Linked DNA regions of Notamacropus eugenii. The protein of the gene in region 2 purifies or fractionates together with the protein of the main gene of each other region. This does not show direct contact. Links are inferred from orthologs where the notes say so. Each region holds a gene or a part of one and is shown on either strand. Other genes may lie near its edges.

What was found.
Region 1: the proteins of CUL9 (region 2) and GLMN purify together in Homo sapiens (affinity purification with mass spectrometry; 3 studies listed by BioGRID and IntAct, counting the BioPlex papers as one, with this or other methods). This does not show direct contact. The link is inferred for Notamacropus eugenii from reciprocal best matches to the Homo sapiens genes CUL9 and GLMN.
Region 3: the proteins of CUL9 (region 2) and APEX2 purify together in Homo sapiens (affinity purification with mass spectrometry; 3 studies listed by BioGRID and IntAct, counting the BioPlex papers as one, with this or other methods). This does not show direct contact. The link is inferred for Notamacropus eugenii from reciprocal best matches to the Homo sapiens genes CUL9 and APEX2.

The regions. Positions count from the first base shown.
Region 1 is NC_092873.1:503,848,205-503,858,768, forward strand, and holds the start of GLMN (glomulin), read right to left. Parts: upstream 4,153-10,564; 5' UTR 4,132-4,152; intron 3,875-4,131; exon of another isoform or gene 3,770-3,874; intron 1,903-3,769; 5' UTR 1,859-1,902; coding exon 1,820-1,858; intron 709-1,819; coding exon 583-708; intron 1-582. Other genes in the region: putative RNA polymerase II subunit B1 CTD phosphatase RPAP2, read left to right, coding at 4,343-4,418, 10,307-10,352.
Region 2 is NC_092873.1:106,086,159-106,096,802, reverse strand, and holds the start of CUL9 (cullin-9), read right to left. Parts: upstream 3,794-10,644; 5' UTR 3,778-3,793; coding exon 3,652-3,777; intron 3,021-3,651; coding exon 2,408-3,020; intron 1,959-2,407; coding exon 1,804-1,958; intron 1,679-1,803; coding exon 1,157-1,678; intron 176-1,156; coding exon 37-175; intron 1-36. UniProt on the Homo sapiens protein: Core component of a Cul9-RING ubiquitin-protein ligase complex composed of CUL9 and RBX1. The CUL9-RBX1 complex mediates ubiquitination and subsequent degradation of BIRC5 and is required to maintain microtubule dynamics and genome integrity.
Region 3 is NC_092879.1:98,122,492-98,132,764, reverse strand, and holds the start of APEX2 (DNA-(apurinic or apyrimidinic site) endonuclease 2), read left to right. Parts: upstream 1-6,121; 5' UTR 6,122-6,223; coding exon 6,224-6,338; intron 6,339-6,887; coding exon 6,888-6,971; intron 6,972-8,353; exon of another isoform or gene 8,354-8,448; coding exon of another isoform or gene 8,449-8,497; intron 8,498-9,230; coding exon 9,231-9,411; intron 9,412-10,273. UniProt on the Homo sapiens protein: Functions as a weak apurinic/apyrimidinic (AP) endodeoxyribonuclease in the DNA base excision repair (BER) pathway of DNA lesions induced by oxidative and alkylating agents.

The DNA of each region.
Region 1 (10,564 bases), about 400 Mb from region 2:
TCAAAATTTTTTCATAAACAGTATTTTGTTTTTATCCCACAAGTGACTTTCTTTAAAATGAATAAAAGAGTATAATATTAATTTATTGTTTGTCTGGGTCCCTGAAGTCAGGCCATTGGAGTTGGGCTATATTTTGTATAGTGAAAACTGTACGAATACAGCCCAAGCTTTAAATTAATCCAAGTCTCTACCTAAATGCCACCAATTTTGTTAAAAAAAACCATAGGCATGAACCCTCGCTCTTAATTGTTTAATTTTTTTTAATGAAGTACACAGTACAAAGTGTTTTAAAATCATTACTAAAAGAGTTCTACTTGGCAAACGGAAAAAAAAAATTCAGCTGAATCCCATTTTTAACACTGTTTACCAAGATGTGAATTTGTGCAACCGCTTGGAAGGTTAGGCTTAAGCTATTATGCTAAGTATCCCAATGGTATTAGCTATTTAGATGTACACTAAGAATAGAACGCTCATGCAATGCTCATTTAGTAATCTGGGCAGGGTTATCCAGGGTATCCGTCGGCTGCACTCTATCTAATAAAGTATAAAAAGTTACACATGATAGTAAGTGACAACACTTACCTTGTTCTTTTCATTTTCTAAAATGTCTAATACCTGAGCAACGTGCCCTTCTTCTAAACACTTTTGGCCTGCTAACTGAAAGAGACCAAAATCTTCCTCTTTGAAGTTCTCCTCTTCTAGGATTTGCTTTAGAAACAACAACAAAACCCGACAAGTTAGCATTCATTTACGTGATTATATAATAAATTAAATTATGACTTGATTGTTTAGTCTTGATCTACACCCATAGTACAAACACATGGGCAGAATTAATGACTTTCCTAAACAGTATCCGAATAAACTATCTTAGAATCCAATGTACTAAAATTCAGAAAAACTTAGGAAGCTAGAGAAGCAATGTGTGTCTGGTATCTCCACTATCCTTCTCCCACCCCTGGGAGTATTTATTCATAGTGGGGGCAAAAAAGCAACACTGCTCCAAGAGAAAACCCAAACGTCCAGCCTTGCATACAAAGCATTCTCTGGTACAAACAAATAACAATGTGGAAGGGAGAGGTTTATTTTTGTTCAAAGAAAATTACTTCTGAACAAGTTGTAGTATATGAATGTGATGGAATACTATTGTGCCATAAGAAATGATGAACAGGAAGACTTCAGAGTGGCCTGGAAAGACTTATATGAACTGATGCTGAGTGAAATGAACAGAACCAGGACACAGTAACACAGTAACAGCCACAGTGTGCGATGATTGTTTCTGACAGACTAAGCCCTTCACAGCAATGTAAGGACCTAAAACATTTCCAAAGGACTCATGGAAAATGCCATCCACATCCAGACAAAGAATTATGGAATTGGAAGACAGACTGAAGCAGAATATTTTCTCTTGTGTTATGTTTTGTTTTGTTTTGTTTTTTCTCCCATTCATTTTAATTTATCTATGTAACATGACTAATGTGAAAATGATTTAATAAGAATGTACATGTAGAACCCGTATAAGATTGCATGCCAAAGATTGTATGCCATCTTGGGGAGGGAGAGCAGAGGGAGAGAAAATTTAAGACTCATGGAAGTGATTATTGAAAACTGAAAACAAATAAATTAATTTTTTAAAAAAGAAAGTAAGTAGATCCATTTCTCAAATTTTTTTGAGCTATGTCAGGACTCTCTGGTTTTATGGATGTGGAGTCCCTTCTCTGACACAGATGGCAGCCCCTCTGTTCCTTATTCTAGACCATCTTCATAAGTTGCTATGACTGCAATAAAATAAATTAAAAATTAAAAAAAGAAAATTACTTACACATCTCTTTACTATGGACTGAAGTTCTTCCACAGCCATTCCTGAGTTTTTGACTTTTCTTTCAGTTTTACTGTAGAGAAACACTAAAAAGAAAATAACTGCTCAATTTATATAACCTGCTTTAAGATTTACAAAGGACTTTATATATATATGTATATACACTATAAATATATTTGTTAATTATTTGATTGTTACAACAACTTGTGAGATAGATAGTGGGTTTATTATTATTTCCACTTTATAGGTCAGGAAACTGAGGATGTTGAAGGGTAAGTGATTTGACCATTATCACGTAGTTGAGATAGGAGACTTGACTCCAAATTGAGCATGACTCTATACTCAATGTCAGTGGTGTCAAACTCAAATAGAAATGAATCCCTCCCAGCCAGCCACATTAGAAAACCACAAATTAACATTATTTATATTATATTGTATTTTTCTTTATTTTGTTAAACATTTCCCAATTATATTTTACTCTTTTTCAGCCTCACTCTTGAGTTTTGCAAGAGCCTCTGGCCTTGAGTTTGACTGCTCAGTGCTATATATACCACACTGCAATTAACTGATGAAGATATTTTATTATTATATTAAGGAGTAGGTATATAAATATACTTCTGAATTAAGTATTATTATGAAGAATCTAATAATTTTAAGAGTTTAGTAAAAATCATCGCTGAACTTTAGCAGTCTTTTTATGGAAATATTAAAGATGATAAAACAATAGTTGGTATTTTAAAAAATGAACTTTTCATGTATTTTCTAAGTTTTCCAGTTCCACATTTACATATGCCTACTTTTTTCTGAGATGTCTTTACTTTCCAGAGGAAAGGGTAAGCATTTTGTAATGCAAAAATCACTCCAAATACTGAGAAATCCCAGGTCTAATTCAGAACTCTGGTTCTCTGTTAGCGAACCCATATGGGGTCCTGACACACAGTTTAAGAAGCACTGGGCATCCCTAGTAGAAAATATTTAAGAAGCCCTGCTCTACTGATAGGGACTGGGGGGGAACTCTTTGATCATTCTTGGATTCTACACTTCTACAATTCTATTGGAGATTCCACTATTCTAATGTCACGGGCATCAGAGCATCCCCACTTACAGGGTCATAGTCTAGGTGCAGAAGAGGCCCTAGAAATCCCCTGTGTCAACCTTCTCATCCATCAGCACTGGGATAGCGCTGCTCTGGGATTCTGAAGCCACAGCACTCAATCCAACAAGCCTTCCTTAAGGGATTACGGGGCCTCGGGGCTAAGCTCTGAGGATACTTAGACAAAAAAAAATGCAACTAGCCCTTCAGGGAATCTATCATCACCTACTCTCCTGATCACCCCATCACTCCACCTCAGCATCACCTATACTGACGGCCAATTCCCTCAGTTTACAGAGAGGGAAACTGAGACCGGAGAGCTTTAAGTAATTTCACCCCTTGCTGGGACGGAGGGAAATCGAATGGATAGATGGCTTTTAAAAGAAGCCTCTCCTACTTGTGGGAAGTCAATCAGTCAATCAATCAATCAATCGAGGATCACTGGGAGAAGACAGACCAGAAGCAAGTTCACGAAGCTCCCCCTGCACGTGCTTGGCTGCTGGGCATCGGTGACATTGACCAACTCCTGAAACTGACGCCTGTGAACTAAGTGCCTACTGTGTGCTGGGCCCGAAGAGTGCGCTGAGCAGTGCTCGTCCTCGGGGGCTGGGGGGAGGGGCTCGGAGGCTGTCCCACCGGACGAGCCCCGTCTCCCGGCCTACCCGCTCTCTCCGCTGGGGGCCAGGTGGCTTAGCCGAGATTCAAGCCGCGTGTAGGGCCCCCCTCCACCCCCTAGGCACCCTGGGCTGGGCCGCGGCCTGGATCGAGTCCGGTGACTCCCCAGCTCAGGCCGCGGGCCTGGGGCTAAAGCCCTGCCCCGAGCTCTCCCCAGCAACCAGACCGCCGCCGCAGCCGCCTACCTGCCCCGACCCTCTCCAGGCAGGCCTGGGCCTCCTCCTCCGCTCAGCCTGGCCGAGGCCCCGCCCCTCCCCGCCTCCCGCCCCGCCCTGCCCGGCGCGAGGACCAATGGCGGAAGGACCCAGGCCCCGCCCCGGATCCCGCCCCCATCTGCGCAGCAGGTCTCAGGCTGAGGATAGGAGGAGGAGGAGAAGGAGGAGTCGGTGGCGCTGTCGTCATGGAGGATTGAGGCCCTGCCTCTGACCCCGCCCCCATCCTGCCCCACATCTCACCTCCCACGGCGCAGGGAGGAGGTGGAGCCCTCGGTGAGACAGTCCATGGTTAAGGAGCTGAAGTCCCGCCCTGACCCCGCCCCCTGCCTCACCTCCCAGGCTCTGGAAGGAAGAAGTAGGAGGAGCCTGTGATGTCGTCATGGAGGAGGAGCTAAGGCCCCGCCCCCCGAGCCCATCCCAGGTGGCTCCGGGGAAGGAGGAGGAGCCGGGGGCGGGGCGATCATGGCGGACGAACGGAGGCCCCGCCCCTGACACGCGTCCCGGGCGGCTCTGGGAGAAGGAGGAGGAGCTGCTGCGGCCGACATGGAGGACCAGCCGAAGCCACGGGCCCGTGGCGGCCCCCGGAGCAGGAGCTCCCGAGGCGCTCGCAAAGGCGCGGGTAAGAGCTGGGGCCCAGGGGCCCGTCACGTCACGCCACCCGCGCCGCCCCACGAGGGACTGGGGCGAGGCGCCGAGGTAGAGGGGCCTGCCCCTTGTGGGAGGTGGGGCTAATCAGGCGGCCCGGCTACCCCTCTTCAGGATGGGGATCCCCCCTTAGAAAGAAGGGAACCCCCTTAGAGAGATGAGAACCCCCTTAGAGGATGGGGACCCCCCCTTAGAGAGAAGGGAACCCCCTTAGAGAGATGAGAACCCCCTTAGAGGATGGGGACCCCCTTAGAGAGAAGGGAACCCCCTTAGAGGATGGGGACCCCCGTTAGAGAGAAGGGAATCCCCTTAGCGGATGGGGACCCCCCCCTTAGAGAGAAGGGAACCCCCTTAGAGAGATGAGAACCCCCTTAGAGGATGGGGACCCCCTTAGAGAGAAGGGAACCCCCTTAGAGGATGGGGACCCCCGTTAGAGAGAAGGGAATCCCCTTAGAGGATGGGGACCCCCTTAGAGGATGGGGACCCCCCTTAGAGGATGGGGACCCCCCTTAGAGAGAAGGGAACCCCCTTAGAGAGATGAGAACCCCCTTAGAGGATGGGGACCCCCTTAGAGAGAAGGGAACCCCCTTAGAGAGATGAGAACCCCCTTAGAGGATGGGGACCCCCGTTAGAGAGAAGGGAATCCCCTTAGCGGATGGGGACCCCCTTAGAGGATGGGGACCCCCCTTAGAGAGAAGGGAACCCCCTTAGAGGATGGGGACCCCCCCTTAGAGACAGGGTGATCCAGACCATTTCTCCCCTCTGCCTCTTTAGAAGACTCTGGTCTCCTTAGATTCTTTTTTTAAACATAAATTAAATTATTTGTGTTTAGTCTTCAGCATTCACTTCTATAAGTTTTAAATTTTCTCTCCTTCCCTTCCCCCCTCCCCAAGACAGCTTGCAATCCGATAGAGGGTCTCCATATACATTCTTGTTAAGCGTATTGTCACATCACTCATATTGTATAGAAGAATTAGAACGAATGGAAGGAACCATGAGAAACAAAACAAAACAAAACAAAAATAGAGAAAATCGTCTGCTTCCATCTGCTTTCAGACTCCACAGTTCTTTCTCTGGATGTGGACGGCATTTTCCATCATGAGGCTTTTGGAGTTGTTTTAGGTCCTGGCATTACTGAGAAGAGCTAAGTCAACCAAAGTGGGTCATTGAACAAGGTGGCTGTTACTGTGTGTAACGTTCTCCTGGCTCTCCTCTCCTCACTCAGCATCAGTTCAGTCTTCACAGGTTTTTCTGAAGTCCTCCTGCTCACCATCTCTTATAGCACAATAGCGTTCCATTACATTCATGTACCACAGCTTGTTCATCCATTCCCCAGGTGATGGGTATCCCCTCCATTGCCAGTTCTTGGCCACCACAAAAAGAGCTGAGCTGCTATAAATATTTTTGTGCATGCAAGTCCTTTTCTCATTTTTATGATGTCTTTGGTATACAGCTCTAGAAGTGGTATTGCTGGGTCAAAGGGTATGCACATTTTTATAACCCTTTGAGTGTACTTCCAAATTGCTTTCCGGAATGGTTGGATGAGTTCACAACTTTACCAGCAATGAATTAGTGTTGCAATTTTCCCACATCTTCCCCAGCATTTATAATTTTCCTGTTTTGTCATGTTAGCCAATCTGATGGGTGTGATGTGGTACCTCAGAGTTGTTTTGATTTGCATTTCTCTAATCAATAGTGATTTAGAGCATTTTTTCATTTGACTTTAGCTTTAATTTCTTCCTTGGAAAACTACCTGTTCATATCCTTTGACCATTTATCAATTGGGGAATGACTTGTATTGTTATAAATTTGACTCATTTCTCTATATATTTTAACAATGAGGCCTTTTTCAGAGATACTGGTTGTAAAAATTTTTTCCTAGTTTTCCTAATTTTCTAATTTTTTGTGTCACTCCTGACCTTGGCTACATTGGCTTTCTTTGTGCAAGAACTTTTCAATTTAATGTAATCACAATTATCCATTTTGCACTTTATAATGTTCTCTGTCTCTTGTTGGGTCATAAATTCCACTGTTCTCCATAAGTCTGACAGGTAAACTAAACGTGCTCTCCTAATTTGCTTATATTATCAGACTTTATATCTAAATCATATACCCATTTGGACTTTATTTTGGTATACGGTATAAGATGTTGGTCTATGCCCAGTTTCTGCCATTCTGTTTTCCAGTTTTCCCAGCCGTGTTTGTGAAATAGTGAGCTCTTATCCCAGAAGCTGTGTCTTTGGATTTATCAAACAGTAGATTACTATGGTTCCCCTTAGATTCTAAGGGGAACCTGTAGCCTTGAGGCCACATGTGGCCCTGTAGGTCCTCAGGTGCCACTCTGACTGAATTCAAACTTCACAAAACATTGTTTTCATGTGGCCTCGAGGCCACAGGTTCTCCACCTTGCCTTAGAACATTCACTATCTAAGAGTGACATTCCCACTTTAGAGGACTCTTGCCATTTCCCAAAGGGAATCTAGCCCATTCTCATGCCATCTGCTTTAGAAGATTGTCTGTGTTAAGAGTTTACCCCTGTTCCCTTTGAGAAGCGATCTGAGGAATACTCTGGTATCTTTCTGCCTTCCCTAGTCTGTGAGATTGTAGAATCATAGATCTAGTTCTGTAAGAGCCTCAGAGACCCAGAGTCTAACTCCTTCCATTTGTAGATGACAAAAGAGGCCCAAGTCAGCTCACAGACTCACCCAAAATCGCAGTCACAGTAGTGAGTTCTATCCACCATCTAGGGACCTGTAGAGAGGTGCCTTTGAGGCTAGGAGATTTGGGTGAGAACAGGATCTGTGGATCATCCTGTGTGGGAGTGTAAGAGTGATGGGGCCTTACAGTCTCTCACCCTTTTTCCCTCCTAGGACCTCTACTTCCACTTCTTCCTAACAGGGCATTGCCAAATGAGGAGGTTTTGGGGGAGGATGCCTTGGCTCTGGGTAGGGGCAGCCAGTGGCCCAGAGGATTAGAGCTTTTCATCTTGAGTCAGAATGACCTGTGTGTGTGTTCATCGTTCGTTGCAGAAGAAGATCATGCCATCAGAGAAATAATGACATGACTTGCACTTGACTTTGTTTTGAGTGAGGGAGGGCTGTGCAAGTCACCACCCTCACTTCACCAGAGCCATCTGGGTCTAGTGACCAGATATTCATCAGGATGACTGGAGATGACCCAGGATGAGGCGGTTGGGGTTAAGTGACTTGCCCAAGGTCACACAGCTAGTGAGCATCAAGTGTCTGAGGTGAGATTTGAAAAGGAGCATAGGATGGGAGGATGGGGGGGCACACTGCTGACCCATTCTTGTGAATAGGAAGAAAAAGATGGGCAAGGACCTTTATTCATTTTTTTGAGATTGTTGCAAATTGGCTTAACCAACTGCCCTTTTGCCTGGCCTAGGTGAATTTGGTGAGCCTGAGCTAGAAGTCATTCATACCTAAGAGTAAATCACTTTAACCACAATCACTTAACATCTGATTGTGATCTGCCCTTTTAGGGAATTTGTGCTGGTGTTGTTTTTAGTGAAAAGAGAATTATGGATAGCTTGTGGTAGGGGATCAAATCTAGGGGGAAATGAGTAGGGCTTTGAATCCAATGGTGACCTGAGGTCATTCAGTGATTGTCTTGGATCCGCCAGAAGAGCTAGATGAAGACTTTAGAGACTGGCTATTCCACCTTCTCCAGAAAGATCAAGAGTTATTTATATGGTGCTTTAAGGTTTTCAAAGTGCTTTACAAATATTAACTCAGTTGATCTTCACAACATTGAGGGGGGTGTGTAGGTGGGCATTGGGTGCTGTCATTATTATCAACATTTTGCAGATGAGGAAAGTAAGGCAGGCAGGTTGATGTTCTTGAGTTCAGTTTTGATCTCAGCCCCTCCTAACTGCAGGCCAAGAAAGTCTTCATGAAGGAGACTTTAATTAGACCTTAAAGGATAGTTATGTCTTAGGTGGAAGGAAAGGCATCTTCAGGCAGTGAAAACAGCATTGGAGAGAAAGGCAACAGCTCTAACAGGAGTGAGGTCTTACTGTTGAGTAACAGAAAAATAAAGATAGCTATTTACAGAGTTGGAGGAGATCGGAAAGGCCAGGAAGCATTTTCTCCTTTGCTTGAAGCCCTCTAGTGTGGGAGGAAAAGAGGCCCATTCTTTTTCCGACATCTCAGTATGAGGAGACTTTTCCTTACATCCAGCCTGAAGATTCCTTTCTGCAGCTTTCAGTTGCAAATGTGTTTTCACCCTGCCTCCCCTATGGCCAGGCAAAGCTATCCCTCTTCCATGTGAAGCAGATCTCATTGACCTCCAAGTTCTCTTCTCCAGACTGAATGTTCCTACTTCTTCAGCGGATTCTCCCATGGCACCATCTTGAAGTTATGGTCCTTGTGCCCTCTTTCAGGTTCTCTTCACCTTTGTATCCTTAGCACAGTGACCTTGCACATGAGGAATCCTATTGAGCCTTCAGGTCCCTAAATCCTTTAAATTTTTTTGGATAGCTCTCTAGCCACTTTACTGCAACTTGTGAAGTTGGGTTTTTTTAAATCCAAGTGTAGACTATGCCTCTGTGATCTATTCGCTTCTAATAGTGCACATCCCAACTTATTCACACACTAAGCTCTCTCATCCTCTTGGCTTTGTTCTCCTGTAAATACTCCTTGGGGTATCCACCTAAATTTAAATTCATCCATGTTTATTAACCACCCACTGTGTATGCAGCAGTCACTGTTGGGGAGGAAGACAAAGACAAAATCAGAATGACCCCTCTGTTCCCTGTTCTTCTGTTCTACTGGAAGAATAATGGAGCCCTCCTTTTGTCACATCCCTTGACATTATGTGGCAAAACTCTTCAGGACACAATCTTGAGAGCTGAACTGGATTAAAATGTAATTGGGAAATGTTGAACAAAATCAATAAAAACGCCACACAGCATAATGTGAATGTATGGTTTTCTTAGTCAGTGTTTGACTGACACCACTGGTGTCTGGGAACCCCTTGACCACCAGAGGCTATCCTTAGATTATCCATATTTCAGGGGAGTGGTTATTGTTTTTAAAACCTCGTTTTTGCCCTCCCTTTATGCTAAAATCTTTCTGTCCCTTGTCACAGTAAGCACCCCAATATACACTGGGGGGCCTGCTATCACAGATTCTTAGATCTGCATTCATAAAAGGAACGGCAACTTTGGAGGGGTTAACAATTACTTTAATCAAACATATGTATCATTCAGTTCAGGGGGAAAGTCAGTACCCTGAACTTCAGAGAAAACAGAGAAATCAAAAGTCAGCAGACAGGGCTTCTAAAACTGTCTGACCATTACATACATACACCAACTTCTGGGTTTGGGGTGGGGTGGGGGGCTCCTGTAGGGGGCTTCCCAGTGTGTCTCTGGCCAAAGAAACACTTCCAGTCAGTAATCCCCAAAGTAAAACCTCACCCTGGGTGTATTTATACATTTTTCAGAGGCAGAGGGCATAACCCTCTGACCCAGTGCCTCAGCAAAAAAAAACAAAACCAAAACAAAACCAAAACAAAACTTGGGACCCTCCTACAAAATAACTCCCCTAATCTAGCTTCCCTCTGTGGGCAGGCCCCCTGGTGGGTGGGTGGGAATTTTCTTTAATCGCATTATTCAATCTGAGGCACTTTCAGTAAAACAAAAACAGCAAAAGATTTAATTTGATTGTCATCACACCCTTTTACCTAGGAATGATGTAACCCAGTGTTTGCTTTTTGGTATATTTTTTTTAACTGGTTCTGTATCTTGAATATGAAATTATGTGCCATGAAAGAGAGGTATGGAAAAGAAGGAAGGAAGACATGCTTTTGGTTTCTACCTGACCCTTATGTGGTGTTTTCCCCCAGGTAGTAAAGAACCAAGTGCTTCAAAAAGTGAAGATGCATCTAGAAGGTATGGCAATTAACTGGCTTCCTTTTGTTTGGCTGCTTTCCCTCTATTATGTAACATTAATTACTATTATTACGTATTACTGTTAAGTTTGAATTGTGTGTTGTGACTGGTGGGAGTTTCTTAAAGGAAATAAGTTTGTGTTTGAGAGAAGCTGCAAGGTTGCTGTTGTCTCTCTGTACATAAAGTCTTAGTCTCTGAAAATCACACCCAGC
Region 2 (10,644 bases):
CTCAAGGAACCTATGTGATTTCCTCCCCAAGCTCACCTATACCTGGGGCTTGGGACCCACTGCCCCCTGTTCCTTTCTCTGGCTCAGCAGCAACTTTGTCCTCAGTTACAGGACCCAAAATCTCCACCATGTGCCAGTGTACCCAGTATGTGCGGCCTGTTGACTGCCACAGCACCTGGGGCATGAAGAGGGGAGGGAGAAAGTTCAGTCACCTGAGTCCGGGGAACAACCTCAGCTGGAGGCCTAGACCTGGGTCACATAATAATTAATGATCATGATAATAACTAACATTTATATAAAACTTCCTATGTGCCAAGCACTATACTAAATGCTTCACAATTATTACTTCATGTAAGTCCTCTCAAAAGCTCTGAGAGGTACAGGCTATTATTTATCCCTATCTTATAGATGAGGAAACTGAGAAAAGAGGTTAAGTGACTTGCCCAGGGTCACACAGCTAGTGAGTGTCTAAAGCTGGATTTGAACTCAGGTCTTCCTGACTTCAGAAAAGAGGGAGCTGGGCAGACAGGCAGCACAGTAGATAGGGCCCTGAGCTTAGAATCAGGAAGACTTATCTTCATGAATTCAAATCCAGCCTCCAGCACTTACTAGTTGAGTGACCCTGGTCAAGTCACTTCACCCCCCCTTGCCTCAGTTTCCTCATCTGCCAAATGAGCTGGAGAAGGAAATGGCAAACCACTCCACTTATCTTTGCCAAGAAAACCCCACATGGGGTCATGAAGAGAAAGACTGGATTGAAACACCCAAACAACAAAAATAACAACTTCTTGACTCTAGCCCCTGCATTTTAGGCCCCTTCCACATGGAGACTCCATGACAGTCATACAGCCAGGGCTTAGACAATTTCTCTCTAGAGTAGAGGCTGGGGGAAAGAGACAAAAAGGACACAAACATGTATTCCTCTCCTCTGCCAAATGAGAAAAGAATGTGGGCAATGGTATCCTTAGACATCTCTGTCTCCTTTTCACTTATCAGGAATCGTCTATCTGCTCTCTTAGTGATAAAATCTTCTCCAAATGGCCATTCTCCCTCCCCAGAGGGTGAGGTAGGGATACAGTCACTCTCTGACCTTCCCCTACTTTCTGTCTTTCTCAGGGATGCTATTCTACCTATCCTCCAACTCACTCACACATACCTGTACAGGGGGCATTCCATTGTTGCTCTGGCGGAACTCTCCTTGGTCCCCAGCACTGATCTCCTCATAATCCTCCAGCATTCGAACACGCATCCCTGGCTGCAATGTCTCCTGAACGTAGTCAGCATAGCCACTCAGGCTCGAGAACTCAGACCGTGGTCTGAAGGCCCGGCTTGGCCTCCTTGGGGAGGCAGGGGTAAGCAGGGTTGGGAGGATGGTGCTTGGCACAGATGATCGGGGCTGAAAGATAGATCGGGCAGGCCGAGGGGGGGATGCAGGCTGCCTCCCTGGGCCCCGGTCCCATCCCATACCCCGAACCAATTCTGAAATCAGGTTGCCCATGGCCATGCTGAACTCCAATTCCCTCTGTCCACGGCTCTTCTCCACACTGGAGGCCTTGTTAGGGGAGCACCGGTTCCCCCACTCCCCAGACCCTGGCTCCACGCTGCTACTTAGCTGGTCCAGGAGGGATGTGACACACAAGTAACGTTTCACTAAGGAGAAGAGCAGCTTTCCAGGGATCTGCAGGATAAACACCCTGGCCTCAGTTTAACCATCTCCCCACTTTGCTTCTCCTAACCCTACTGCCAACAGACAGGGAGATAAAAACTCGGCCCACAGCCCTTTTCCCGACTCCCTTAGGTTACCTGGGGCAGGTGGATCCCTTCAAAGGCCATGCAGTGCTCTTCAGAAGATGTGGTCTCTGCAAACAGCTCCAACAGAGTGGAGCGGCTATCAAAGTCCATGTGCTGTTCGATGCCATCCTGCTGGCTCAGTGACAGGAGCACATGGGCCCTGCTCCCTGAAATACAAGCCCTGCTCTGCATCCTGTCCCAGGGAACCCACTCCACTTATCACCTTCTGCCCACTCCTCAACTCTTATCATCTGCCTCTCTTACACTCACTCTCTTCCACCCTCCAGCAGAACCAGGTCCTTTCCCATCAAAGGGGCTGACAGGGGGACCAAAGTGCTCTGAGAAGTGACTATGCCTTATATGATAACCATCTGTACTGACATCTGGCCAGCAAGTTCTAAACTCTATGAAAGAGAGTGAAACTCTATGAAACTCTCTCTTTCTGTTCACATCTCTTTTTCATCAATGGTGTGAACCTGTAGCTCTAAGTTCACTGCAACTGGGCATAGGCTGACATCACTTTCACTCTCATGAAACCAAAAGGTCCTGACATCCTCTTTTTGCAAGTTGTCCCACCTCCTTTCCTGCTTCCCTTTTCTTTCCCTCTGGCCCTCACCAGCATCATGGGCTGCCAAGGCCTGTAGCATCTTTCCAGCGCTCCTGCGAATCTGTGGCTCAGGGTTGCCCAGCATGTGCATGAGCAGGTCCAAGGCTCCTGTCTCCCTGAAGACACCAGCAAGGGGTCCGATGCTGGCATAGGCGCTGAGCACGTGGATGGTGTGTAGCACAGAGGCGGCAGGACTGGAGCCCCCCCCACCATCCAGCTGCCGGGCAGCTCGACGCACCAGTCCTCGGACATCTGTGGCCATCTCTCCCAGAGAGGCTTCATCCAGCCCCCCGGCATCCCGGGGAAAGGTGCCCGCGCTCCCCACTGGTTCATGCTGCGGTCCCTTGGCTGGGGCTCGTTCACCAAGCAGCATGGGACAGCTGGCATAGACCTCCGGGGCTGAGAGCCACATGAGGATATGCTCTGCCTTGCCTTCTGAAGAACTGCCACTGCCTATGCCACCCTCCTTCCCACGCTGAAGGACAGTCCAACGGATCAAGTACTCTGGATGCCCATCGTGACCCTGGCGCTGCCGGAGCAGTTCTTCAGGGTATGCCTGCAGTCGTGGGCCCAGGGGCACCAGCAAATCTCTGCTTCTTCGTTCTCCCACCATCCTGGGCACCTAGAACAGAGGAGGAAAAGGAGCAGAATGAGAAAAAGTACCCGTTGTCAAATAAGCATCTATGGGATGTGGAAGAAGGTTGGATGTGGAAGAATTCTGTTGTGGACAGAATTCACTGATCATATTAGGACAGAGGAAAGAGGAGCCCAGGACCAGTGATCAGGGTGGGGACATAGACAAAAGGAACTGGGGCTGTTGTGGGGATAGATGGAAGTTGCAGGAGAACATCAGATGGCAGACATGAAGAGACTAGGACTAGAACAGTATGGAAGGCAAAGCAGGCATTTGATTTGAGAAGACAAGGAAGTGAAGTGAGGCACGATGAGAACGATGATACTGATGAGCAGTACTAAAATGATGGGTCATAGATTTAGGGCCTAAAAGGACTTTAGAGGTCATTTTGGAAATAAAAGAGACAAGGAAGATGGTTGGTACAATCTGGAGAAGAGACTCAGGGAGAACTGAAAGTGAAAAGTGATCAAAAAAAGGAAGGAACAACAGTTTCAGTAGAAAGAAGAGGTTACAGGCCAGATCAGCCTGGTGTCACAATGGTAAGTACCTAAACCAAAATTAGTATCTGGGGGATGATACAGGAAGATAATCACAAGGGAACATTTTAGAGCACGCAGACCTGGACAAAAAGTGGCAGAATCCAGGACGTGTGGAAGTGCGGGGCACAGACATGGAAGGTGACCATCACTGAACAGCCCTCACCATGCCCGCTCGGACAACTCCTTCCAAAGGGCTGTCCTCTCATGCCTCTCCTACACCATTCATTCCACCCTTCAGGCCAGCCAGGGCAGAATCACATGCCCGCGGGGGGGGGGTGGTCATGGGTACGTGTGAGGGGGAGGGCTACAAACAACAGGGGGTCACCAGGGTGGGGGGGTCTCGAGGATGGCTGGGGGGCCGCAGCACGTGGGAGGCTGCGGAGACGAGGAGCGCCGGGGGCCGGCAACAAGCGGGGCGAGTCGGGTCCGGGGGCGGACAGCGGGGCGAGGGCATGGCCAGGGTGAGTAAAGCGCCGCGGGGGTCACGGAGGGCGCCCGGGGCAGGCTAGCAAGCGTGTGAGAGGGTGATCGGGCGAGGGAGGAGGGTCCGAGAGGGGCTGGGGAAAGAGTTTGGGCAGGAGGTGCCTGAAGGGGGAAGGGGAGGCTTTGTGGGGGAGGGTCGGACGGGGGGGCGTACGTGGGGGGAGGAGACGGCGTGAGGGGGAGGGCCAGGGCGGGGTGACCGTTGGTACAGGGAGTGGACTCCTGGGGCCGCGCGGCTTGGGGCGGCGGGGGAGGGTTCGAAGTGGAAGGGGATGGAGAGAGACAGGGGACCCCCACCCCGTGCGCACGCTCCTCTCACCTCCCGCCGCCCCGCGCGCCCCCTTTGCCGGCTCCGACTAGACGGTCCCGCCGGACCCGGCCGCCTCAGTCAGCGGGCACCCTCACTTCCGGGTCCTCTACTGCACCTGCGCTCACTGTCCGGCTTCTACGGAAGCCAGGCAGAAGGCCTCGGAGGGGAGAAGGGTGGGTAGCGCCGAAGCGGAGGCGGAGAGCTGTGCGCGTGCGCAGCGCCCTCCTCCGGATAGGGCGGTGCCTAGCCTCTCCCGACTTCTACCGGGCTGGTGCGGCGACTCCAGCGCCGGGGGGCTCGCGGCGGGGGAGGCGATGACGTCACGGGGGCCAGGCGCGGGGCGCTTTTCCCAGGTGGCCCAGGTGGCAGGAGCGCCCTGCGGGGAACTTGGGCTGAACTCCTTCCCCTATCCTCTGCCTGAGCCTTTATCCAACTTTACTTCCATGTCCCTATTTCTGAGCCCTTATCCGCGCTCTCGTTTCTTGTTTTTTTTTTCCATCTAAATCAGTATTTTTAAATTTTTTAGGAATTTTTTAAATTTTAAATTATTTTTTAAATTTGTTTTTAAATTTTCAACCATTATTTAAAATTTAAGAATGTTTAATCTTAAAATAATAAACATTTGAATTAAATTTTTTTTCTGCCGTGTCCCCATGACCTTTACCCACCCTGACACATGAAGACCTCCCTCTCCTACCAGACGGTTAAATGAAACAAAGTAGCACTTTAACCAGATCTGAAAGAGTCCAGCCTCCTTTCATTCTAAAGGAGAAGACAGTACATGTGGGGGAGGGGTGGCCAGGAAGGAGCGCTTCGTTCAGGGAAGATGACAGGGACGCTAAGTGAGGCCATGAGAGTATCTTGACACGTTCCATCTAGGGCCAGTGCCAGAGCTCATTTGACTGTGGTTCACGGTTCCAGAACCAGAAGGGAATGGGGCTAGAAGGCCGTGGAGTTTTCTTGAAATAGAGTTTTCCTTTGACGCAAAAAATGTTTCATCATCTTTCCGCTGAATTCTGCTATCTTTTAGTGTTACATTCTTTAACATTGGAGTTACTATGTGTAACTATGTATACTATGTGTCTGCTTTCTTTGCATCAGTTCCTGAGTCTTCTCAAGTTTCTCCAAATTCCCGTCATCATTCCTTTTGGTGCAATAATATTCCATGGTCTGCCTATACCACAATTTGTTCAATCTCCTCATCCAGTCCGTTGGCACCCAGTGTTTCCTATTTTGTTTTTGTTTGTATGGGTTGGTTTTTTGGGGTTTTTTTGAATATCCTTTGAATAATTTAGTCAATATTGGACTTTTTCCCATCTTTGACCTTCTTGGAGTATATGTGCCCAGTAGTGGTAATCCTGACTCAAACAGTATGAATCCTGGGCCCTATTTTTGAACCCAAAATCCACCTCCTTTTTATTTCTGTTAACTTTTTTTTCTTTATCCTTCTTCATCCTTATTCCCTGGGCTCTATTCTGTCCTGGGTTCTAAGGCCTTCTCAGTTCTGTGACACAATTTCTGAATCCTTATCCAGCCTTTCTTCCTGGAACTTATATTTGACACACACTCGCATCCATGTCACTTATTTTGGGCCTTATTTTTGAGTCCTTATATACAGAATCCTTTCTCTCTCACCTCAGGAATCCTCACTTTATAGACTTTTTTTTTTTTAGAGTCCTTCTTCATCTTTATTCTCCTGAAACTTATTTCTGACATTCTCTTCCCTGAAGCTCTGTCCTTCAAACACATGGGTTTGTTTGGTTTGCAGCCAATTTTCTGACACATTATTCAAGGGGGAAAAAAATGAATAAAAAGCATTGATTAAGGAATATGTGCCAAGCATTGTGCTAAGCCTGAAGATATGAGCTATCATTTTAATGGGACAGACAGCTCATATGGGGTTTGGGGGGTGGTGGCCAAGGAAGGAGTACTTTGGTCTGAAAAGATTATAGGGATGGTAAGGAGAGTATCTTGACACATTCCATCCAGGAATAATGCCAGAGTTAATTCGATTATGGTTCATGATTCCAGAACCAGAAGGGAATGGGGGTAGAAGGCAATGGAGCTTTCTTGAAATAGCATTCCAGGTTTCCAGGACAGAAGATTTTCCAAGATATGGCCTCTGTTGTTTGCAACATATTTTTTTCTTCATTTATTTGGAAATCTGCAAAATTTTTTTTTAATTGGCAGCTTCAGAATAGTTCTAAATGTAATAACTTTTCCCAAAAAATATCAGATTACAGTGTAAAGCACTTTCTCATTATATACACATTTTCTTTTCATGATGAATTACATCAATGATTTGCATCGATCTTAATGCAAAAATCCTGGAATAGAGAAATTGTATGCACTGAAACAGGATGACCAATACCAATTAGCTGCTTAAAACTCCAGCAGAGAGATTTCTTACCCCTTAACAAAACTGTTTTCTGTGTTGGTTAAAAGTCAATACTCAAGAATTTTAACTTAGTTGTAGCAAATTTGGCAACATATTTCTGAAAGGCAGCACAGTGTGGTGGATAGAGGGCCACTTTGGAGTCAGGAAGGCATCCCTATCATCTTTGGAATAGAATACAAAAGCCTCTCTTGGGTACGAAACCATTTGCAAATCTGTATCCAGCTTACTTTCCAGGCTTTCGTTACTCTCCCCTTCACAAACTACAATCCAAACTGACCTTCTTGGCATTCCATATGTATGGTATTTCACTTCCCCTACATGACCCTTTGCACAGGCTATACCATCTACCTAAAACGAACTCTCCTTTCTCACCTTCCTGTCTTAGAATCCCTGGCTCAAGTGACACTTCCCATGGGAGGCATTTTAAGATCCTACTGGGAATGCTCTTCTCTCCCCTTCATTACTGTGTGTTTTGAATATGTACGAATGTTTGGTATAGATTTTGTTTGCTTCCATATACATGTGCCATGTTGATTCCCACCTATAATGTTCCTTAAGGAGTCTCTCATTTTTGTCTTTGGATCCCCATCTACTAGCACAGTACCTGGTACTTAGCTGTTGTTCATTCTTTGTTTTTGAAGAGGACCCATCGATGATGTTACAGGCGATATCTTGACTTGCTGGTGAATTGGATTTGAGTGAGATAGAGTTGTACAAAGTAGGTAAACTCTTATCCATTAGCAGAACAGAAGTCAGGATCACTGGCGATGGCCCTGGCATGCAGTGGATGATTTTGGTGTTATTGATGTTTGACCAGACTCTGAGTACTCCATAACGTTTGCTTCAGCTGCTTTCATGGCCGTTGGAACAAATTGTTCTCATGTGCCTGTTTGGCACAGCTGAAGCAAGATGTATCTTCATGAGTTCAGATCTGGTCTCAGATACTTATTTAGCATACTTACTTAGTAACCTTGGGCAAGTCACTTAACCCTGTCTGCCTCAGTTTCCTCATCTGTCAAATCAGCTGGAGAAGAAAATGACAAGCCACTCCAGTGGTTTGTCAAGAAAACCCCAAATGGGATCACAAAGAGTTGGATAGGACTGAACGACAACTGGTCCTTCCTGTCTCACATTAATCTCCGTGGAAGACAATGCTTTGAAAAACCTGGAAGCCAGATGTTTAGTTGGAATTACTGCTACCTGGTATATAGTATGCATTGTTGATTGACTGGGTTCAAATTGTGTCTCTGACAAAAACCAGCTATGTGAGAGTGGTCAAGTCATTTAATCAGGCAGCTAAATGGTGCAGTGGATAGATAGAGAGCTGGGCTTGGAGTCAGGAAGACCCAAGTTCAAATCTGACCTCAAATGCTTACTGTGTGAGCTTGAGTAAGTCACTTCACTTATTTGCCTCAGTTTTCCCATTTGTAAGATGGGGGTAATAACAGCACCTACCTCCCAGGATTGTTGTGAGGATCAAATGAGATTTATAAAACACTTAGCATGGTACTGGAATACTGTAGACACCATGCTTCTCTTCCCTTCGTGTTTCAGTGCTCTGGGTAGCTAAGGCTGTATATGCTGGTTTGCATTGATGAGGAGAGTTCCCACATAGATTAAATCACAGGTCCAGACCTTCAGGTTCCAGTATGCTGGCAGGGAGGTGGGGGTCGGGGGGGGGGGGGGGGGGTGAAGAACCCATCTTCACTGGTTTGGCTTCATTTCTGAGCCTTTATCTGCATTCACTTTCTGAACCCTAGGTCTTCTGAGTCCTCATCCATTCTCAATGACCCTAAACAGTAGTCTGGATACTACAATCTCCAAAGAACTGGGAGACCAGAGAGGCAATGGAAAGATACATACTGGGTCCAATTAGGCTGCAACATGTTACCAGAGATGACTTCAGTGCAAAAAAAAAAGTGGTGTAAAAATGTTATCAGAACATATAAGACCAGGAAGGTGAGCTAGTGTTGTAGTGAGAATAAGGGACAGCTCATATACTGTACCCGTATCTCTAAATATTTTGAGAGTTGTAAGGTCTGTCACATCTGAAGCAGATCTTCCATGGGACAAGCATCACAAGATAGGAAGATATGGCTGTGTTGCAATCTACATTTCATCTTGGATCCTTTGAAACATTCTGAGATACTCTTTCATTGGTCCTAGAAATCTTAAGAGTCCTCTCCAACACTTACTTGCCCCCCAAATGCTACTTCTGAATCTACCCTCTTAAATTTACTATTCCCTCCTTCTACTTCAGGGGAGTATAAAAGATGGCAATAGGCATTTACATAATGCCTACTATGCACTAGGCTCTGTGCTAAACACTTTTTACAAATATTTTCTCATTTGATCCTTACATCTACTCTGAGTGGTAGAAAGAAATAGAGGCAGTTATGTTAACTTGCCTAGGATCAAATAGTATCTTTAAGATCAAATTTAAACTCAGATCCTCTGTCCACTGTACCACCAGCTCCCTGAACCCAGGAAACCTACATTGACCTCAATTCCAGCCACTGACCCCTAAAATTTTCTTCCAGAGGAGTAATAAGTGATACGTGAGGGCCTCCCTCAGTATTGGAGCCTTTTTTTTGCCAACAAAACAAATTTAATATTGGGAAATTATGACCAAGCTTGGCCACAGAAACAAGAATTTACTGTACTTCTTCCCTTCTTTGCAGAGGTAAGGGACTGTGAATATGGAAGACTATTTATCTCATACCTGGCTGATGTGGTTTGATTCGTATTGTCTTTTTCTCTTCCGCTTTTTTTATTGTTACACTGGATGGCTCTATGGGAATTGAAGGGATATACTGGGAAATTGGCCTATAAAAAGAAAGGATATTAATTTTTAAAAGGAAAAAAACAGAACCAACCCCTTGTACCTAGCACCTTTCATTTGAAAGGTCTAGAGTGTGGCTTTCCTGCTAGGAAAAAAACAACCAAAACCCCAGATTCTGTGCACAAAATGATACATTTATTGAAAGAGTATTTTTTTTTTTAATACAAAAGAAAGCTCTGTACATAGGACTGTGATCATGTCCATGAATTCCTGGGTCAGCATCCCAGGGATGTAGAAACCACTGACACTCAAACACGCCCCACACACTCACCACACATACACACACCCACACACCCACACATTCACACACCCAGAGCCGCCAGAGGAGGGGGAACGCTAAGGGTCACCACACAAGAAATGCCATCTCATCCCTGAAGCACGCATGTTCTTACAAGGCTGCGCTCACATAAACATTATAAGCACACTTAACCTGATCTCACTGGATCTTGCCTTCTTTGGGGAGATGATGGGAATAAAGCTCTCTTCCCAAGGATAGGCAAGGTGGGTCCTAAGAGGACATGGCTGCGATTCAGAGAAGAGAGGCTGGGCACATTACAGACCTGAGTCCCTAACTCCCCCAATCCCTGACTCTGAGAGGCATTCCTAGTCCCAGACACCAGCCGTGACCCATCCTTGCAACCCATCCTGTATTTCCCATCTGCCCCACCAACCAAGTTTTGTGGGAAATCCCAGGATGGTGGCTCCCACTCCAGCACCCCAGATTTGGGAAAGACAGCAGGGAGAAAGCAGATTACAGGGCTCTTTAGTTTTGTTGGCAAATCAATCCCCTTGAGATCTGGGCTGTGAGCAGAGACTCTGCATCCCACCACCAAGCTGTCAAGGCAGGGTTATTTCTCACTGAATTAACGCAGTCAAGAAAGGGTTAAATCAAAAAACCCCAACCCAACTGCAATTCCTCTCTTCTGGAAAATCAAATGCTCAGAATACAGGTAATGGAGGAGAGCAGGTTCACTGGGTGCAAAACCCTCTGCTAATGCTGGCCTACCCTGCACATCCGCCTAATGGGGGGTAGGGGGGTG
Region 3 (10,273 bases), on a different chromosome or scaffold from region 2:
AGAACAGTGGCTCTTGAGAATATAGGTTATTCCTATTTCAGCTGACTTTGTTTCTAATTTGCCCAAACAATTAAGTTCTGTCAAATCATTTGCAGAAGAAAATATTGTAGTAAAGTAAAACCTTCTCCTAAAATTAAATTTTGCAATATTCAAATTCTGTCTTGATGGAAACCAGACTCCTTCTTTACAAGGTGGTTCTCAAGCACCAGGTAGGTTTATAAACTGTAGATTGCAACCCCCCCTCCCCACCACTTTTCTGTACGTTAAATCTTTCTTAACGTTTTCACACAGTGAAATAAATCATCCTTCCTTACACTAAAACAATGAATGTATCAGTCTCAGGGACAGAAGAGTGTTCTTTAAAAAGGAGTCTTTAAGTGGTGTTTGCATGTAACTTTGTCCTGGGGGCTGCAAGCCTTACAAAAAATCTTCTAGGACATTTCAATGACTAGAAAAACATTCAAACCATAATTAGCAAATATTTCAGTTACAAATTGATTTTCTAATTCATTTCCAATTCCATAAATTTCTCCAAACCAAGAAAAAGATTTCCTTTTTTTTCTGGTCTGTCTTTATGTCTTCAATCACAACCTGGCCCAAATCAAGAAGCCTCAGTTCAGACTGTCTTTTGGAACACTTGGTAGTTTCTCTTGCTCATTTTAATACCTTATTTCTCACCGAAAATCCAATCAAATGGTCACTAGGAGTGTCTGGTTTTTGGCAAGGGGAGTTTACTATCAGAATTGCAGTAATTAAAGACATTACATAGAGTTCATTCAGATATGAAGCTTCATCAATGAGCTTGAACTTCTGCTAGCTTTTCAATTTAAAATGTCCTTCCCAGGGTCAAAGATATTTGGTCCCAGAAGTTATCCTGGCCAAATGTTTTCACAAAGGTTTGAAACTGGGTCTTAAACATCTTGGGCTCCTTGGAAGAATTTTTTTTCCAATTAGCTAGGACACAGACCAAATCAGTGTCTTTAGAAGAAATGGGCTGACCAGATCCCATATTTTGAAATATTGGGTTTTTAATCAGGAATAACTGGACCAAAAATCTGGAGGATCCAAGAGCTAAATTATTTTGGAACCAAATTTTTGCCACATCATAGTTCACTGAACCCTTCAAAATAAAATTTTTTATGTCACACCAAAGAAAAGCTTTGTTGTTGGTAGCTGCAACACTATGAAACAGATAATTAAGCAGTAAGAATGGGATCCCCAGGTTATTTCTGACCTATCTGCCATATGACATTGAGGTCTATGCCAGATGTGTACTCTTAAATTCCAAGATAAGCAGCAAAATCACACCAAAAAAGGGATCTCTGCAGTGTTTTGAGCAGACCAGGGCCACTGAACTAGACCCAGTGGTCAAACCAGAAATCAAGCTGCCAAGAATTCCTATCCAGGACCAGGAGCACAGCCAAAGGAGTGAAACCCGAACCATGCCAACCCTAGCAAGCTCAAGAACTTGAGCCTCAGAACCAGAGGTTAAAACCTAAGTTTTCTTCTGCATAAGCGCAGGTGCAGAGCTCAGCAAAGTAAGTCAGAACCCTGGTTAGGGCTCTGACCAAGCTTATGGAGTTTACCAGTGTGCCAGAAAGACCAAGAACGTGTCCTCCCAACTCACGCATTAACCAAGAGGAGGAGAAATACTTTTCCCGAGAAAAACGCAGGGAAATTCTTTCCCAAGGTTAGGCTGCTGGGATTTACTCTCCCAGGTTCCATTTCTAAGCCAAAAGCTGCGGGCCGTTCCAGGAAGGAAGCCTGGCTGAGCCATCCCTAAATGGTCACATTCCATGGGGCGTCCCCCAAAACAAGACTAACACAGCATAAGTGGACGTGGGGTGGGTGGGGGGGGTGCCTCCCTTCCCCTCCCCCACCCCAACCTGCCCAAATGTAGGCACAGCTGAGCAGGAGCTCCCCCAACATGTTGCCTTAGGGGAGGAGGGTCCCCAACAAGGACTGGCGCCAGGGCTTCCTGGGAACAGGGTGAGGAGCAAAGGGCCATGGTAGTTGGTCGAAGACTGTGACTGTGCCCTTTGGCTGGGGTCGGGGTGGGGGGTGTCCTCAGGCTCCACAGGGCATGCATGTGCTGGAGCCCACCTGCAGCCCCCACCCCCACCCCCACCCCCAGGCTTCAGGAGAGGGACAGGTGTGTGTGGACAGGTGTAGGCCCTGATGGGTGGGCTATGAGAAGATGGGGGTTATAGGGGAGAGAGGACCAGTTCGGATAGTTTGGGCTAGAGTGCTAAAGGCCTAAATTAGGGTGGGGCCATGGGGGTGGAGAGAAGGGGCCACCTCTAAGACATGTGGATGGAGAAATGGCCCCATGGAGCTTGACTGTGAGGTTGCCAACAGGGGTAACTTGGGAGTCTGGGGGGGCCTTAGACACTAAGAGGACAATCTGTGCTGCGGAACTAGAGGAGAGAGACCAGGGCAAGCAATCATCACAGAGAAAAAGAAGTCCTAGGAAGCGCTTTGGGGGACTCCAGGGCCATCCAGTACGCCAAGGGTGGGGACCCAGCCACCCCATGTGTCCCTCTAGCTCCTCAGGTGCAGCCACAGAACAAATCCCCTTCCTAAAAGATTTGTTCTGTAAATTTTGGTCTCAATCAAAAGGCCGCACCTGAGGACCTAGAAGGATACATGTGGCTTTCCCAAGCCCTGCATTAGCTCATACTGTCTTTTAATGCTTTCCTTTGATACTCACTTGTTTTTAGTGGGGTCTGACTCTCCATGATGCCATTTGGGGTTTTCTTGGCAGAAATACAAGAGTAGTTTGCCATTTCCTTCTCCCATGCATTGTACAAATGAGTAACTGAGGCAAACAGGGTGAAGTTGATGGGGAGCTTGGGTCCCAATTTAAAATCACATTTCTCTCTAGCCTCAAAACCATCCCAGGCAGTTTGTCCCCAGCCCAGGGACACAACCTTTATTTCCCTTCCTGCTATGGTAGCCAGATGCATGTATAGAACTTATTAGTTTGAACCAACTGTGTCCTGGGTCATAAAAACATTTACCACTTACTGACCAATCATAGGTATCCTAGACTTAGACATATGTATACTCCCTTTCATGTATCTTGTCTAACAAGATGTTGATGAGAGAAACCTGGTGTTCTGTAGTCAGTCCTGACCTTTAGTTGACTTAGTGACTTTTCAGGTCTAAAACAACACCTCCATGTAGCTGCTCTCCCCCACCTCCCACCTTGGGCTATTTGCTGATGAACTCTGGGTAAAGTAGCTGTGCAGTAAGTAGATACTAGAAGTGCATGTTCCTTTAAGAACTAACCACGCCATAATCCCGCCCTGAGTTACCTAGTTAGCATGTTTGGCACATATTTTACTATTGAATATCCAATATAAACATTACCTGTACCCCTCTAAGGTTGCAGATTCCCTAAGAACTCTTGCCCTCTGAACAGTGTAATAAATCTTTACTTCAACCTCAATAATGCTTGAGTCCACGAATTCATCCCAGGCAACCTGCCCCTGGTACTCTGATCTTTTCGGGGGTCTCATACCCTACCTTCCAGCCCTCATCAAAGTGACTTGCCCAGGGTCACATAGCTAGGAAGTGTGTGAAGCCAAATTTGAACTCAAGTCTTTCTAACTCCAGAGCTGGAGCTCAATCCATTGTACCATGTAGCTGCCCCTAATACTTTCTTATTAGCATCCAAATTAGCAACTCTTCTTTCTTTAAAAAACACACAATACCTTTTTGTTTTTTATCTTGTACTACCCTTCCTTCAACCTGGAACAATTTAATAGGTATCCCCAAGGATAAATGTTACCTTGTGCCGTCAGTCTTAGACATTCAGGTGGGGCCCAGGTTAAATAAATGAGATCTTTACCCAAAGTGCTTGTCAAATTTTCCATCGGTCAGTCTATATGTATTTATTATACACCTACCATATGCTAGGCACTGTACTTAGCACTGGGGATACAAAGAAAGGCAAAAGACAGTCCTTGCCCTCAAGGAGTTCCCTATCTAGTGGGGGAGACAACATGCCAACAACTCTGTATAAACCAAGTGTAGGCAGGATAAATAAGAAATCTCAGAGGCAAGGCACTGGAATGAAAGGGGTACAGAAGGCTTCCCGGAGCAGGGGAAAGTCAGTAGGAGATGAGGAGGAAGTGCCTTCTAGACGTGGGAGACAGCCAGAGAAAGTGCCTGGAGCTGAGGGATGGAGGGGCCTCTTCATGGAATGTCCAGGAGGCCAGAGTCATTAGATGAAAGAGGAAGACTGGGTGCCAGACACTAAATGTATTGAGGGAGGGTGAATATAAAAGTTTTAAATAGGAAAGAGAACACAGAAAAATATTTTTAAAAATTGATTATGACTAAGTGAGATACCTAGGGTTCAACATTAGGAAAACCATCGTCATAATGAATTACTTTGCTGTTGAGTCATGTCCAACTCTTTGTGACCCCATTTGGGTTTTTCTTGGCAAAGATATTGGAGTGCTTTACTATTTCCTTCTCCAGTGTGCCCCCATTTTACAGATGAGGAACCGAGGCAAATAGGGCTAAGTGACTTGCTCAGGGTCACACAGCTAGTAAGAGTCCAAGGCCAGATCTAAATAAAAAGAAGATGAATCTTTCTGACTCCAGGCCCAGGGCTTTGTCCCTTGCAGTGCCACCCAGCTGCCCCTACGAAACACAAAAAGTATGTAACACAATGCAGAAAAAGTCATTGAGGCAGCTCATTTGTTTGCATATTCCAGGGCTTCGGAGTGGCATGATTTGTCATGTAAAAAGTACAGATGAAATCAAGAACTAGACTTATTTGCAGGCAATCAGGAAGCATTTCTTAGATACCCACTATGTGCCAAGCCGTATGCTAGGTACTTGAAATGCTGACTAAAATGTCACAGCCTTTCTTAAGGAGGGAGATACCATATATGATTATGTACAGAGTAAACACAAGGTGCTTTGGTGAAGGAAGGCACTTGTAATAACAATAGCTAATTTGAAGTTTGCAAAGTGCTTTACATCGATTTAATCCTTACAGCAACCCTAGGAGTTAGGTACTATATTATCCCCATTTTACAGGTGAGGAAACTGAAGCTATGAGACCCTGGACTTATACAGTATCACACAGCTACTAGGTGTCTGAGGTTGGATTTGAACTCAAGTCTTCCTGACTCCCAAATCCAGCACTCTGCATGTGCTCACCTAGTAGATGGGAGCCAAGTAGTTTAGATGTGCAGCTGAATCCTGACAGATGTTATTCAATGAGACAGCTGAGGAACGAATGTATGAGACAAGAAATGCAGTTCCTTGAGCAGGTCCCTGCCTCTCCCCAGGCCTCACTTTCCCCACTGTAAAATACAGGCTTGGACTAGCTGCGTGATCTCTAAGATACTTCCAGGTGCAACATTCAACAAACCTTTCGGCTTCATTCACTGGACATAAAGGCACCCAGCAGGATGCTGGGAAACGCCCACGTGGGGAGGTGAAGGCAGCAGGTGACTGGGAAAGGTGCAGGCCTCTGGGCAGACGTCAGGACAGCTCCAGAGGAGTTACAGCACCTAGAGCTGCAAGGGGACTCTGAGGCCAGGGGGCCAAGCTCCTCATTAACGGAGGAGGACACTCAGAGGCCCAGGGAGGGGAACAGACCCTCAAGGCACACCTCAAATGAGAGCATGCGCATAAAGTGCTTGGTAAACTTGAGAGAGCCATAACACTGGCAACTAATATTATAGGGAAGTTCCTTCCGCGTTCTGAGCCTCAGTTTTCACCAATGATAAAAGAAGATGTTGGGGTCACTGGGCTCCGAGGTTGCAGACCAGGGATCCGAGCTCTAGGAGAAAGAGGGTAAACCGAGGAGGGCAGCCGATCCGATCTGCCCCGCCCCGCCCCGCCTCCGCCCCGCCCCGCCTCCGCCCCGCCTCCACCCCGCCCCTATCCGCCCCGCCCCTCCCCTGCTCCGCCCCTCGCCCTCCCGCCAAAGGAGGCCCGCCTCAGAGCGCGCCTGCGCCTGCGCCTGCGCCCTCCCGGCAGCCAGCGGAGCTCCCCTCCCCGAAGGGTAGAGCCCGCCCCGCCCCGCCCCTGCTCCTCCCCGCCCCTGCTCCGCCCCTCGCCCTCCCGCCAAAGGAGGTCCGCCTCAGAGCGCGCCTGCGCCTGCGCCTGCGCCTGCGCCCTCCCGGCAGCCAGCGGAGCTCCCCTCCCCGAAGGGCAGAGCCCGCCCCGGCCCGCCCCGCTAGGCGCGCCGGCCGACATGCGGCTGGTGAGCTGGAACATTAATGGGATCCGGCGATCGCCTGAGGCCCTGAAGCGCCTGCTCGACTCCCTGGGGGCCGATGTGATCTGCCTGCAGGAGACCCGAGTCACTCGTGAGCATCGAGGCGTGCCCCCCTCCGCCCCGAGCCCCCCTCCCAACCCTGACCCCCGCTCCCACCCCCTCCCGTGGAAAGCCCAGCTCCGCCCCAGGAGGCCCGCCCCCCAGGACAGGACCCCTCCCTTCCATCCCTTCCCTGCCCCCAAAGGGCACCTTCTGCTCCAAAATCGCCTTCCCCCCAGGACCAGCTTGCCCTCTAGAGGACACCCTCCTCCACACACACTGCGCCCCCCCCCCCCCCCCCCCGCCACTTCCTCCCTCCCCATAGAGGATCCCCCTACTCCCCCCTCTTCTAGAAGCGCACTGACACCCCCTCTAGGCTGGCCCTCCCAGGACTCTCTCTCCCCCCAGAGAACTCCTTCCTTCTCTTCCCCAGCCCCCCGGTGCTGACCCTATTCCACAAGGTGCCCCCAACTCCTTCAGATGTTTTCAGGGCTGCCTCTGGGTTGGCTTTAGGGGCTTAGGTCCTCTGGCCCCCCTGCAGGGAGCCCTGCCCACAGGAGCCGATCTCCTCCAACCTGGACTTTCCTTCTCTGTCCCCCAGGGGACCTCCTGGAAGAGCCCTTGGCCATTGTGGAGGGCTACAGCTCCTACTTCAGCTTCAGCCGAGTTCGAAGTGGCTACTCAGGTGTGTGGGAGGGTGGGGGGAGATCTGGGGGACTGGGCAGGCCTGGATGTATATACTTGGACTTTGGGGAACCTAGGTTTTCTACCATAAATGGCTTTAAAAGTTTAATCATTGGAGGGAAACAAAATGTCAGTTGGGGTAATAATCAAAAATCTACGTTGAATTTTTTCTGATCTGAATGACATGACCCTTTTCAGGGATGTTTTTACCCTCTGAAAAATGAGGAACTTTGGACTGAATTTTTTTTTAAGTCCCTTTCCACTTTTGATATTCTGTGACCCAAATCCCTTCCCCGTTCTGGGGCTCACTTTCCCTGTCTGTAGAATTAGAAGATTGAATTAGATTGTCTTTAAGTCTGTGACACAAAGACCCTTTCCTGGGCCTATTTCCTCCCCTGAAATGAAGAGGGTACAACTAGATGATTTTTAAGGCCCCTTTCACCTCCAAATCCTATGGAGGTCCTTGGTTAGAATAGCAGTAGGACAGTATGGCTTATAATAATTCACTTTCCTCCTCAAAACATCTCAGTCGACATGCTTAGACAATAATTGCTAGCTCTTTACAAATATCCTCTCATTTAATCTTCACAACAACCCAGGGAAGTACAGTTAGGGAAACTACGGCACAGAATGGTTCACTGACTTGTTCAGGGTCAAACAGCTAGGAAATGTCTAAGTCTGGATTTGAACTCAGGTCTTCCTTAGTTGAAGTCCAGTCCTATATCTACTTTCCCACCTTGCTAACCTGGGTTTGCCTCCTAGCCCTGCTACCTGGTAGTTACATCATTTGAGAAAAGCTTCTTCCCTTCTCTGGATTTGAATTTCCCTTGTTACAAGATGAAGGGGTTAGATTATCAGGGGTGGGGAACCTGCAGCCTTGAGGCCACATGTGGCCCTCTAGGTCCTCAAGTGCAACCCTCCGTCAAAGTTTGTTTTTGGAGCTATCAATAGTTGCTGTATTAGAAATGAAAACATCTTATTATTATGAAAAGTTTTGACTTCAGGGACTGTCTCAGGTCCTCAGATAACACTTTGAGAATCTCTGGTATGAACTATATAATCCTGGTCAAGAGCTGTCCTTCCTCTGAGCTTCACCTTACCCCTCTATAAAATGGGGATAGTGAATCCTACCTGGCCCACAGGTGTGAGGAAGGAGCTCCATGTGCCTTAAAGCACAAGAGAATAAGACAAAGTCCAGTAATGGATGAGAACAGCTGGTGGTTCTTTCTGTACAGAAAAAAAAAAGGCCCAGCGGTGTGTGGAATGGAAGTGTGTGGAATGCCAAAGAGGGCAGGCTGAAGGCCGAGGACAGAGATTGGAATCCTCATAGCGAATCTAGGTTTACTGTTGTGAGGCCTTGGCCAAGTCCTTTTCCTTCTCTAGCCTAGGATTTCCCATTCCACAAAATTAAGGAGTTGACCTACCACAATGTAAATGGAAAGAACACAAAACAATGAAATCGGAGAAATTCTGACTGGATGTGCCTCCAGAAGAAGCCTCTCCTCCCTCCCTCCCCCACTGCCACAGGTGAGGCCTTGTGGGCACAGAAGGCCCAGAGGGCTTGGAACACGTGTTTGGCCTCCTGCCTCTTCCTCTTTAAATCCCTGGCTTCCCTCAAGACTCAGTTCAAATACTGCTTTCTGCAGGAAACCTTTCCTGATGTCCCGAAGGGCTAGGGAAAGGGACAAACATTTATTAAGCACCTACTGCATGCAGGCACTGGACCAAGGACTTTACGAATATTGTTTACTTTGGTTCTCACAAGTACCCTGAGGGGGAGATACTATTATTTTCCCCATTTTATAGATGAGTAAACTGAGGCAAACAGAGGTGAAGTGAGTTGCCCAGGGTCACAGAGCTAGTAAATATCCGGAGGCAGGATTTGAACTCAGATCTTCCTGACTCCAGTCCTAACACTATTTATCCACTCTGACACCTAGCTGACTCTAGAGTTTTCCTCTCTCAAGATACCTTCTCTCTACTCTGTATGTATCTTGTATGTTTCTCGCACTGGAATAAGGTTCTTGAGGGCTAGGGCTGGTTTTGCCTCTCTCCTCAGCACTCAGCACAGTACAGGATGCCTAGTACTTAATGTTGATTGATTGCCTGCCTCTCCTGCCCCCTTCCTGAGCTCTGCCCCCTCCAAAGACCCCAAATGATGAACTCGGAGCTAATGACTTCCAAGCTTGGAGATCCTGGGGTCCCTTAATCTCTTTTGTCATCCTTTCTGTGTCTGCCTGTTGTTCCCCCACCCCTCCAGGTGTGGCCACCTTCTGTAAAAATAGTGCCACTCCAAGGGCAGCAGAAGAAGGCCTGACCAGCCTACTGACCACTCACCAGGGTGCCGTGGGATCCTACGGGAACACAGACGAGTTCACTGAAGATGAGTTACGGGCTCTGGACAATGAAGGCCGGGCAGTCCTCACTCAGCACCAGATACGGTAAACACTGGCACTTTCCTGACCTGCAGCTGAGGCCTCTTTTCCTTATGCTTCCCTTAGTGGCATCAGGGTCAGTACTAAATACCTGCTACCTCTTGGATTAAATGGGCCATTGTGGGAGGAAGGGAATTGAAGCATTTGATAACTGGTCCTGATGAATAAAAAGCCATCTTCCAAGTTTCATTTCTTTGATGCATCTCAGCAGTGTGGGCTTTCCCTTCACCTGTGCAGATTGCAGCCCATCCTGGACTACTTTTATCCATGATCTCCTCCCATTTCTACACAGGAGGTCCACCCAATGTGCTAGAGACTTTCCACTACATAATATGTCAGAAACCCAGGGGAGCATGCCATCTTGTCAGTGGGTACTGCTCTTTCCTTGGCATACATCTCTCTGCTTATACCATTTCTCCTGTACAATTCTGGGCTGGGATTTTTAAAATATTATTTTCTTTACATTCAGATATAATTTTACAAAATTTTATTGATGTTTTTTGTTTTTCCTTTATAGTAATTTCTCCCTCCCCCAAAAATGTATTATTTATTTATTTTTAGCTTCATTTTTAAAAATTTTGAGTTCTAAATTCTCTCCCTCCCACCCTCCACCACCCATTAAGAAGGCAAGAAATGTGACATCAGTTACACGTGTAAGATCATGCAAAAACATTTCCATAAAATATTAACCATATTGAAAAAAAGTAAGAAAAATGAAGAAAGTGCTTATATTTCAGTCTTCAGTCTTCACTCAGACTCTATCAGTTCTCACTGTAGATGTGGAGAGCATTTTTCATCATGAGTCTTTTGGAATTGTCTTGGATCATTGAGAAGAACTAAGTTATTCATAGTTGATCATCATACGGTA